Zea mays: one gene and its partners. The protein of the gene in region 3 binds, or shares a complex with, the protein of the main gene of each other region. Links are inferred from orthologs where the notes say so. Each region holds a gene or a part of one and is shown on either strand. Other genes may lie near its edges.

What was found. Proteins that work in one complex are often made in the same cells at the same time.
Region 1: 50S ribosomal protein L15, chloroplastic-like precursor (region 3) and 50S ribosomal protein L27, chloroplastic share a complex: the UniProt entries of both Arabidopsis thaliana proteins name them as parts of the 50S ribosomal subunit. The link is inferred for Zea mays from reciprocal best matches to the Arabidopsis thaliana genes RPL15 and RPL27.
Region 2: 50S ribosomal protein L15, chloroplastic-like precursor (region 3) and 50S ribosomal protein 6, chloroplastic-like share a complex: the UniProt entries of both Arabidopsis thaliana proteins name them as parts of the 50S ribosomal subunit. The link is inferred for Zea mays from reciprocal best matches to the Arabidopsis thaliana genes RPL15 and PSRP6.

The regions. Positions count from the first base shown.
Region 1 is NC_050103.1:167,360,481-167,364,152, reverse strand, and holds 50S ribosomal protein L27, chloroplastic, read left to right. Parts: upstream 1-1,439; 5' UTR 1,440-1,501; coding exon 1,502-1,795; intron 1,796-2,636; coding exon 2,637-2,738; intron 2,739-2,847; coding exon 2,848-3,024; 3' UTR 3,025-3,152; downstream 3,153-3,672.
Region 2 is NC_050099.1:216,898,344-216,900,750, forward strand, and holds 50S ribosomal protein 6, chloroplastic-like, read right to left. Parts: upstream 1,093-2,407; 5' UTR 1,021-1,092; coding exon 655-1,020; 3' UTR 521-654; downstream 1-520.
Region 3 is NC_050096.1:27,447,240-27,450,750, forward strand, and holds 50S ribosomal protein L15, chloroplastic-like precursor, read left to right. Parts: upstream 1-1,259; 5' UTR 1,260-1,260; coding exon 1,261-1,690; intron 1,691-1,951; coding exon 1,952-2,103; intron 2,104-2,691; coding exon 2,692-2,913; 3' UTR 2,914-2,998; downstream 2,999-3,511.

The DNA of each region.
Region 1 (3,672 bases), on a different chromosome or scaffold from region 3:
GGAGCAACGGCAGTTCCAGAAGAAAAAAAGGTACCAAAACCTGTCACTCATGGGGAAGGGATCACATTCACATTCACATTCACCAATCACCATCATGGCCGGTCGGTCGCGGCGTCTCTCTCTCTCTCTCTCAATCCTTCTCTTTTTTTACAGTCACGGCTGATATGATCTTGGGTTTTATCTAACCCTCCCCATCATTCTCGTTTAGACCCAGCCTGCCTGCTTGCTTGGCCTTTTCGTGTCCTTTTCAGTTCCAAACTATTCACCGTGCAGTGGCAAAGATCGATATGGACTAACATTTTACAACCGCAAGCACGCTATAATTTGTCACAAATAAACAAGAGTGGGAAAAAGATAGAGGAAATGCGTTGTGTCGGTCGGGTCCGGCCGGGGTGGGGTGCGGGTGTGGGTGTCGCCGGCGAATCGTCAGACGAGGCAATGATCGCCGGCGGTCAATGTCATCTCTCCGTCCCCCTGCTGACGGTGCGTGCGGTGCGGTGACTGCTGCTAGTACAAGTAGTAGCAGCAGCCTGTGAGCGCCGTGCGCTGCTGCCTCTTTGAAATTTCTGGCATCCCTAGTGCCGCCGGAAATCTAACGCACACGGAGACGGAGGAGTAAACAGTGCAAACTGCAGCGAGTGAGCGGATGGAGCGTCTGGACTCTGGAGAACACGAGATTATTAGTGGGTGGTGGTGGTGGTGGTAGGGCCCTGTTTGCTTGTGTGGTCTGGTCTGGGCCATGATTAACTTGGACCCCCAAACGCTCTGCATCTCCCGCGCTTTCGTCAAGGATCCTAATCATGCCATGTGTCGGTCGTCTCCTCTTCTTCCGGCTCCAGCTTTGCCGTTGCCGCCGGTCAAGCCCATCATCATGCCTACTGCTTCTCTTGCTCTTGCTCTTGCTCCACAACAAGCCTGCCTGTCACTCTAGCTAGCTTCCCCGGCTATCTCCCCACGTGCCGACGCTAGCTAGCTGTGGCCATTCAGCGTCTCTCTGTGCAGCTCCGGAGGGAGGAACAAGATGATGCCCTTTTGGTTCACATATCATGTTTGTTTAACTCTAACTGAGCCTATTCAGACTTATTATCGTTGGTACTTGAATGTGAATCATTATCGTTACCACTTACGTTACATATCATGAACCAAACACCACCACACTGATCATTTTGTTTTCCCCCTGAATGATTCCTTCGTGAATCCTGTGTTGCCTTGCCTAAAACTACAAGGACCAAAACCGGCCAGGAGCATAACACCATTTCCCTCCCTTCCAATTCGGCCAGACACTCTGCAAGCACCACGAGGCCCATCTGCAAGTAAGGCCCAAAAACTCCAGGACCCAAAACACTGGGCCAACCACGAACGAGCCCACGTCTCCCGACTGCATCCCTTCTCCACTCCGTTATCACCAGCGCCCACACCTCTGTACCTCACCGCCTCATCTGCTCTCTTCCCCCGTCTTCTTCCCAAGCTGCCACGTTGCCTCCCTCCGCTCCAGCGGCCCATGGCCTCCATGGCGTTCGCCCTGGCGGGGGCCTTCAAGGGCCTCTCCCTGGCGCCCACCACCACCACCTCCTCCTTCCCGCGCTGCGACCGCGCCTCGCTCTCCGTCGGCGGCGCAGCGGGCGTGCCGGTGCCGGTGCCGGCGCGGCGGCTCACCATCCAGATGGCGCACAAGAAGGGGGCCGGGAGCACCAAGAACGGCCGCGACTCCAAGGGCCAGCGCCTCGGGGTCAAGATATACGGCGACCAGCTCGCCAAGCCCGGGGCCATCATCATCCGCCAGCGCGGCACCAGGGTCCTGCCCCCCTCTTGCTCCCTTCGCTTCCCTTACCTGTTACTGGTTTGCTTTGGGTTAGTAAGACAGCCTAGGCTCTTGCTTGCGTGGATTATGGTACCTCGTTGACTGGCTCTGCTGGGCGACATAGCTCTCTCTGCCTAGCGTTTGCTTGCTGCTCACCTGCTGCTGCTGCTGCTGATGCAGGTTAAGCATATTAACCACCGACCAGTACCTTCATACGGATTACGGACTGCGAATGCTAGAATCTTACGATGTACCTAGAATGCTTGCCATTGCACATGTTACGTTGGAATGTATGCTGCCATTGTGCATATCTGCATTTTCCATAGTTTACCACTCTGCAAAAGCAGGAAAGAAAAGATTGCAGTTTCTTGCATACATCAGATAACGGGAGGGGAAAGTGCACACACAAACCTCGCTGGGGAATGTAACGTACTAACCTCAATGCCCTATGGAGCCAACTGGTGGTGACTTAGGGGGGTGTTTGTTTGGGATTATAATCTGCCCAGGTTATATAATCCAACAAATTTTGAACTAAACACCCACCTTACTCTGCACACATGGTCAGACATAGCTGTTCAATATTAGGCATACTGTAAGATGGTCGGTCAATCCTTGTAAAAGATATTTCATGAACTTACATGTCTTACGATTTGGTTGGTCCGTCCTACTTACCAGCGCGCTTCAAATATTTAAGATGTTTATATATTATGGATACTACATGGTTTATACCATCGTGTCCCTTGTATAGAGTTCGTTTTGGTCCCCGTTTTGTGGTCTGTCTGTTCCTTGCCGTTTTTAAGTTTTTTCTTAAAATAAAATCTTTTGGACATTTCAGGTCTATCCTGGAAATAACGTTGGAATGGGCAAGGATCACACACTCTTTTCTTTGATAGATGGACTCGTCAAGTTTGAGAAGTATGGGCCGGACAAGAAAAAGGTTAGCTGTATCTTAGTTACTACATACTGAAATCTGCTTTTACTTGCATCTGACTGAGATCTGGTTGCACACCAGATATATGCTCATCTCACTACCTCTCCTTTCATAGGTTAGTGTTTACCCATATGAGAAGGAGCCTGAAAACCCAAACAGTTACAGAGCAAGGAAGAGAGAGTACTTCCGCATGCGGCGTGAACGGAAGAAGGCGAGAGCGGAGGGCGCCGCTGAGCCTCAGTTGGTACTAGCTGCTGTTGATGAAAACTCTGAGGTCAGCGCGGACTGCTGATAAGTTTCCTGTGTGGTGTTTCTCTTTTTCACAGCCCTTGTTACACTTTTTCTTCCTTAATTGTAAGACCACATGATCTATAAAGGTCATATTTACATGTGTTGTTTAGATAAATGGATATGTTCTACTTGTACTTTTTGTGGGGTAGTTGTGCTTTAGAGTCACAGTGGGGGTCTATTCCAACTTCCTAGACCACTCCACGTAGGGCGTGTTTGGTTCGGCTTTTTTCTGAATAGCTTTTCTGAAAAGCTGGTGGTTAGAATTTAGGTGTTTGGTTCGCCAGCTGTGCGGAAAAGCTGTTCGTTAGAATCTAGGTGTTTGGATACACAGATTCTCAGATTGCAGATTCTGTTTGAAGAAACTATACACATTAACACCGAACCAACAAAAGGTCATTACATATAATTAGTGGAGTTCATTACAACATAACTACTGTTACATTTACATATTTAACTACGGCACTAATGCATTAGCAATTGCATCTCGAAATGCACTCATGTCTAACTCATCAGATGTGATACTACTACTCTCACCTACAGATACATCATGACCAAGGCTATTAGGTCCTAGTTCATCAAAGTCTCTATCGTGTAGAGCACTGTCTCTAATGAAGTTATGCAATGTCATACATGCAATAATTATCTTGGA
Region 2 (2,407 bases), on a different chromosome or scaffold from region 3:
ACCCGCGGATATCAAATTCCACCATACTCATATCCAATGGATAATTATCCGCGGTTATTTACCCATACCCGTATCCATTGCCATCCCTAGGTAGGCAGGTAGCATATGGAATTCGCACAATCATGCTCCAACAAAAGCAACATTACAAACAACTAGGTTACTTCTAAAATTTCCTATCATTTGCAGTGTTCAATGGCTGTTCCTGCCATCTAAGCTGAGTTTACTGTTTACCGAACCTTCCCCAATATCAGGCAATTGTCCAAATCAAACAGAGCCAGCTCCTAAAGTCAAACAAGAGGCAGATGTCTTCGTTGGGCTGCTTGTTTTCCCCCCCTTTTGAAGACTATATTTGCGTAATCCATATCCCATCATAACTTAACTGGCAAACTATGGAGATGGAGTAGCTAATCACTCTGCAGTCTGCACTGCCACTGACGGCATGGAATAAGCGTTGCACACAGCATGCAACCAAGAAATCATCTAGCAACGCACTAAATTGGACGCGGTGACAGCCACAATCTGGACAGCAATGAAAGATTCTTAATTTATAATCACAAAATCTGGGCAGCCATTGTTATTATATAATAAATCTCAAAGAAAAACAGCTTATGCGGAGGTTCAAGGGAACAACTTTGGCGACACGCCGCGGCGGCCTCAGTCGGTGGCCGCGGCCACGTCGAGGACGAGAGTCGCGGCGGGTGCCGGGGCCTCCGCCTCCTCCACGTCCACCGTGGCGCCGGAGGCGACGAGCGTCCAGTCCGGCGGGAGCGGCGGCAGCGGCGGGTACTGCGTGGGGCGGCGCTTGATGTCCCACGGCTGCGTCTTCTTGGGCCGCGTCTTCATGTGGTGCTTGGTCCCCTTCTTCTGCGGCCGCGACGAGCACTCCACCGCCAGCGCCGCGCGCCCGCCGCCGTGGAGCGGGGAGAAGCCGACGGAGTAATGGCGGGCGTGCCTCGCTGGCGACGGGGCCGAGGCCGGCGGCACCACCGTGCCCGCCAGGAGTGCGGTGACAGGCGACATGCTCGCTGGTGCTGCGCTTTCGAGAGAGGCGGACGGGTAGGGTAGTAGTGTGGGTTGTGTTTGGGATAAGATGGGAGGAGGACTGTTTCGGATTGGGTTTTGTGATTGCGGGATTTGCTACGCTGAGCGAAATCTGGCCCACACTATGTGCGATCATCTGACCGCTCACTCATCGAGTGTTTTTCCTTTTTTATATCTCCACTTCTTTTAAAAAAAACTTGTAATTGTTTAGTCCCCTGCCCTCTTCTTATCATAAAATGCCATGTCACCTTTTTATATTATAAAATTCCGTGGTCTAAGATGTGCCGTTGATGAAGCTTCAACAAAACAAAATGAGGCTCACGGGTACATAATATATTTCTTTTGGTACAACGATCAGTTGTCTCCCGAATTTTGTTGAAAAATGTTTCGGCACAACTAGCTTGTACTTCTAAAGCTATCTCTAACTCATCTAGAGATGTTAATGGAGAATTCTCCATCGGGTTATAGCATCCCAAACTCATTCCTATCATATTTAGTCCATCCTCATACCCATTATGGGTGCAAAATTCATCTCATACTCATCCTCATTCGGGTTTTGGGTCCCCAATGGGTCCCCATCTCCAATTAACGCATGTTCAGGCACACCAATCCAGAAGGCGATTGGAGGGTATTAAATCCCCTCCTAGTCAATGGGAACCTCAAATCCCCATTGGGATTGGAGGGGATTGAGGTAGAAATAAACTAATTTTCTCTTCAATCCCCTTCAATCTTGAAGGGATTTGAGTTTCCAAACTAACCCTTAGTGCTACTTTGGGAACCTCAAATCCCCTTCAGGGTTGGAGGGGATTGGGGTGGAAATGAACTAATTTCCTCTCCAATCCCCTTCAATCCCGAAGAGGATGTGAGTTTCCAAACTAGCCAATAAGGGCTGATTTGGTGACCAGAGATTACGGCGGGATTTGAGAGAATTGAGGGGGAAATTAGTTCATTTCCCCTTCAATCCCCTCCAATCCTCCCGTGATCACCTTGTCACCAAATCAACCGAGTTGATTTGGTGACAAGGTGATCACGGGAGGATTGGAGGGGATTGAGGGGGAAATAAACTAATTTTCCCCTCAATCCCCTTCAATCCTCCCGGGATCCCGGGTCACCAAATCAGCCCTAAGAGGGGATTTAAACCCCTCCAATCCCCTTCTGGATTCGTGTAACCGAACAAGCCCTTAAGGGATAACTAGGTACTAACATGTAACACAAACTATCTAGATTTCAGACATCACCACATCGGCAAGTACTCATTAATGAACCATCATCCATTCATCCATCCATCAGAAAAGAAATAAGTACTTCAGGACCGATAGAAGAAATAGAGAAATGGAGTCTGCTCACATTTCTTGGTCACCATCTG
Region 3 (3,511 bases):
GTAGCTTGCTCAATCCTCCTATCCACCTTGAGATTATGTAAGATCACTAAAGAAAACATTAGTCTCAAATAACACAAGATATGTGTGCTCCCCTCAAATTCTGCATCAAGTACTTGAATACAAGGTTACAATAAGCGCTAGGCGTTAGGCGGGCGTTAGGCCACTGTTTAGCGCCTAGAGAGCTTAGGCGTAGATTAATCGTGCTTAAGCGTTTGTAGGAATATACAATATAATATATATATTTGCACAGAAAAAACAGTTTTAGCTAGGAATTAGGGGTACTTACCTGGAATAATGAATAAAAGTATAGAACAGAAGAGATGGAGGAGCAGAGCAAGAGCAGAGGGAGAGGGAGAGCACGCCTGGATAGCTAGGGAAAAGGAGCAGAGAGGCGCTGACCCCGGTGGCCTGGACGACTTGACCAGAAGGAGAAGAGGAACCGACGGTGGCGGCCCTGGACAGCTGGGGAAGAGGACCAGTCTGGCAGCGGCCCTGTTTTCCTCCTCTTCCATGCAACAGCAGCTGCAGCTCCCAGCCTGTTTCACTCTCTCCCGGGCAACAGCAGCTCCCACCTCTTTCCCTCCTATTCACTTTCTATTCCCGCGCAGCAGCTTTTTTCTATTCCCGCGCAGCAGCTTCCGTGCTCACCTTTTCCCCGCGCGCCGAACCCCGCTTCCACACGCCTCCTTTCCGCCTCAGCGCGCATAGCGCAAATCACGCGCCGCCTACACGCGCCCACCGCGGAAACCACCGCCTAGGGCCTAAGCGCAGCGCTAACATGCCGCTTAGCGTCTAATCGTGATTAGGCGGGCGCTTAATCGCGCTTTTTTGAACATTGCTTGAATAACTTATTCTACCCACATTCTAGCAATTAAGGATGTGTTTGGTTGCCGGACAGAGTTTTTTGCTTAAGTTTGTGCATATTGCAAATCTTTTTGAAAAGATGTGAAAAAGGTATGGTTCTATCCCTTACTCAATTATTTTAGTTGCTAACTATGTTTGTCTAAGCGTTAGAGAATATAATGTATCAAAGTTTTGATATAGTTCTATCTTCTATTCAGAAAAATACCGATTTTTTCTTCTTTATATACAACTTTCGAGTATATTATTATTATTGACATGAATGGGCCACGGCTGTTTGAAAAACAGGCCCAAATAAAGAGTGGAAGAGGCCCATCGTCTCCATCTTATCTCGTTCCCAAACCCCAATTATCCGCTTCTATCCACAATCGCAATTCGCAAGCCCTTCCAACGGCAGTCATGGCTTCCATCACCCTCCTCTCCCTCGCTCCCACCGCCATCTTCCTCCACATCCCGGCTTTCACCTCCTCCTCCGTCGTTGGTCCCGGAATCCTAGCCGGCCGCTGGGCCGCGCCCCGCGCCCTCCCGCTCCGCGCGCTCCCGCCCCGTCGCGTCACCGTCGTCTGCAGCAGCGCCGCGGCGGCAGCCGAGGCCTCGGACGCCGCAGCGCCAGTGGAGAAGTTCCGGCTCGACAATTTGGGGCCCCAGAAGGGGTCCCGCCGGCGGCCCAAGCGTAAGGGACGCGGTATTGCTGCAGGCCAGGGCGCGAGCTGCGGGTTCGGTATGCGCGGGCAGAAATCGCGCTCGGGGCCCGGCGTCCGGCGCGGGTTCGAGGGAGGGCAGATGCCGCTCTACCGCCGTCTCCCCAAGCTACGGGGCATTGCCGGCGGTGAGTTGCTTCAGTTAAACCGAAGCTTCCCCTAATGCACTCAATCGAAGCAACTCGCTAAGCTCTAGTTCAGACAGATGCTTGTCTCACACCCCCACTTCGGCATTGCCCATCCGTGATTAAATTCACACCAGGCTGGCGCATAACTAATTGAACTATGCATTGTGTTGTTACTCGTGAGAGCCCATCAAGGTTACAAGGAATGCAGAAATGCAAGTGATTGAGAAGTTGCCTGATGTGAGTTCCACCATGGCTTTTCAGGGATGCACATTGGCCTGCCGAAGTATGTGCCATTCAATTTAAAAGACATAGTGCGCGGCGGATTCAAAGATGGTGACGAAATATCACTGGAAAGCCTGAAATCACGGGGTCTGATCAATCCATCAGGCAGGGAAAGGAAGCTGCCGCTGAAGGTAAATCTTTTGATGATTAACCTTTGGTTGTTTCAATAAAACTTGTTTTGTGGACTGGTATTTGTGACATAGAACTTGACACGTTCGAAAATATGAATGACTTCATATTCAAGGGTTTGGCTTAGGTCTTGGCCAGTGAGGACATGTTCTCTTTAAGGCAACCTTATTGTACCCCAGATTTGAAGCAAGAATCGAAGTGTTTAGTGATTTGTCGTTAGATTGAGTGGCCAGTATTCTTACTTTTTTACTTCTTATAGGTTGTTGTATCGATTCTGAATTAGCCTGTGATAATGTTAGGTACCAAGTTTATCCACTTGAGTTAGAGTCATCTATTAGAACATGCAATACGGGATCGAGTTTTTTTGGTTGTTTCTGTTAGATGAGCACCACTTGAAGTGTTGAATAGCTTTGTTTGTACAATTTGGCAATGTTCCCATAGGTTGTTCATTGGATTTACAATATATTCTAGAGTAACTACAAACTTCCATATCTGCTAACATAAACATGAAGTGGCATGTGCCACCTGTTAGTTTTTGCAATCATATTTTGTCTTACCTTCATGATCACTTGTTGTTCACCTGTTTGTAGATCTTAGGAGATGGGGATGTATCAGTTAAGTTGAATATCAAGGCTGGAGCGTTTTCAGCTTCAGCTAAAGAGAAGCTTGAGGCAGCTGGTTGTTCCCTAACTCTGTTACCTAAACGAAAGAAATGGCTTCCACAAAATTATCTAAAGAACCAAGCCCGAGCAGAAGAGTACTTTGCCAAGAAAAAAGCTGGTGCTGGTGAATCTGATAGCGGCTCTGCATAGAATTTCTTTGCGATGTACTCTTCTCTTGCTTTTAGCATATGCTTATTACTGAGCAAGACACACCGGCTCAACTAAAAATGTTCATAACTTCTTCATCCAAACTCTGACTTCGATGATATTAGACATTTCGGAAATTTTATTTAAAGGGCTACGATAGCCACTTTAATAATTGATTCAGAACAAAATGGACTAATCCAGAATTCAAATCCAAAGACACAACCCTTGGTTAGGAGAATATCGAAAACCTTTTTTTACAAAGAAAGTTAACTCCAAATGATTTCCCACGTGATGATCAACACCTTTAAGACTTAGTTAGCATTTTCAAAGGTTTTTTATCTCAAACTTTATCCACCACTTGATCCTAGCAACATATGCAAAGTTAGATCACTCAAGTGGCTCTAGATGACAGATATGGAAACAATGTTGACTATCTTAATAGTACGACCATCTATTTTAAACCAGATTATGCACAATTCTACACAACCTTTGATTGGTGAAATGAGATGCTCTGCAAGTAATACATTTCCCTTGTACATTCTATTTCATCTCCCGAAACAATGACACAACACAAGCATCGACCTCTATCATCAAATGTGAA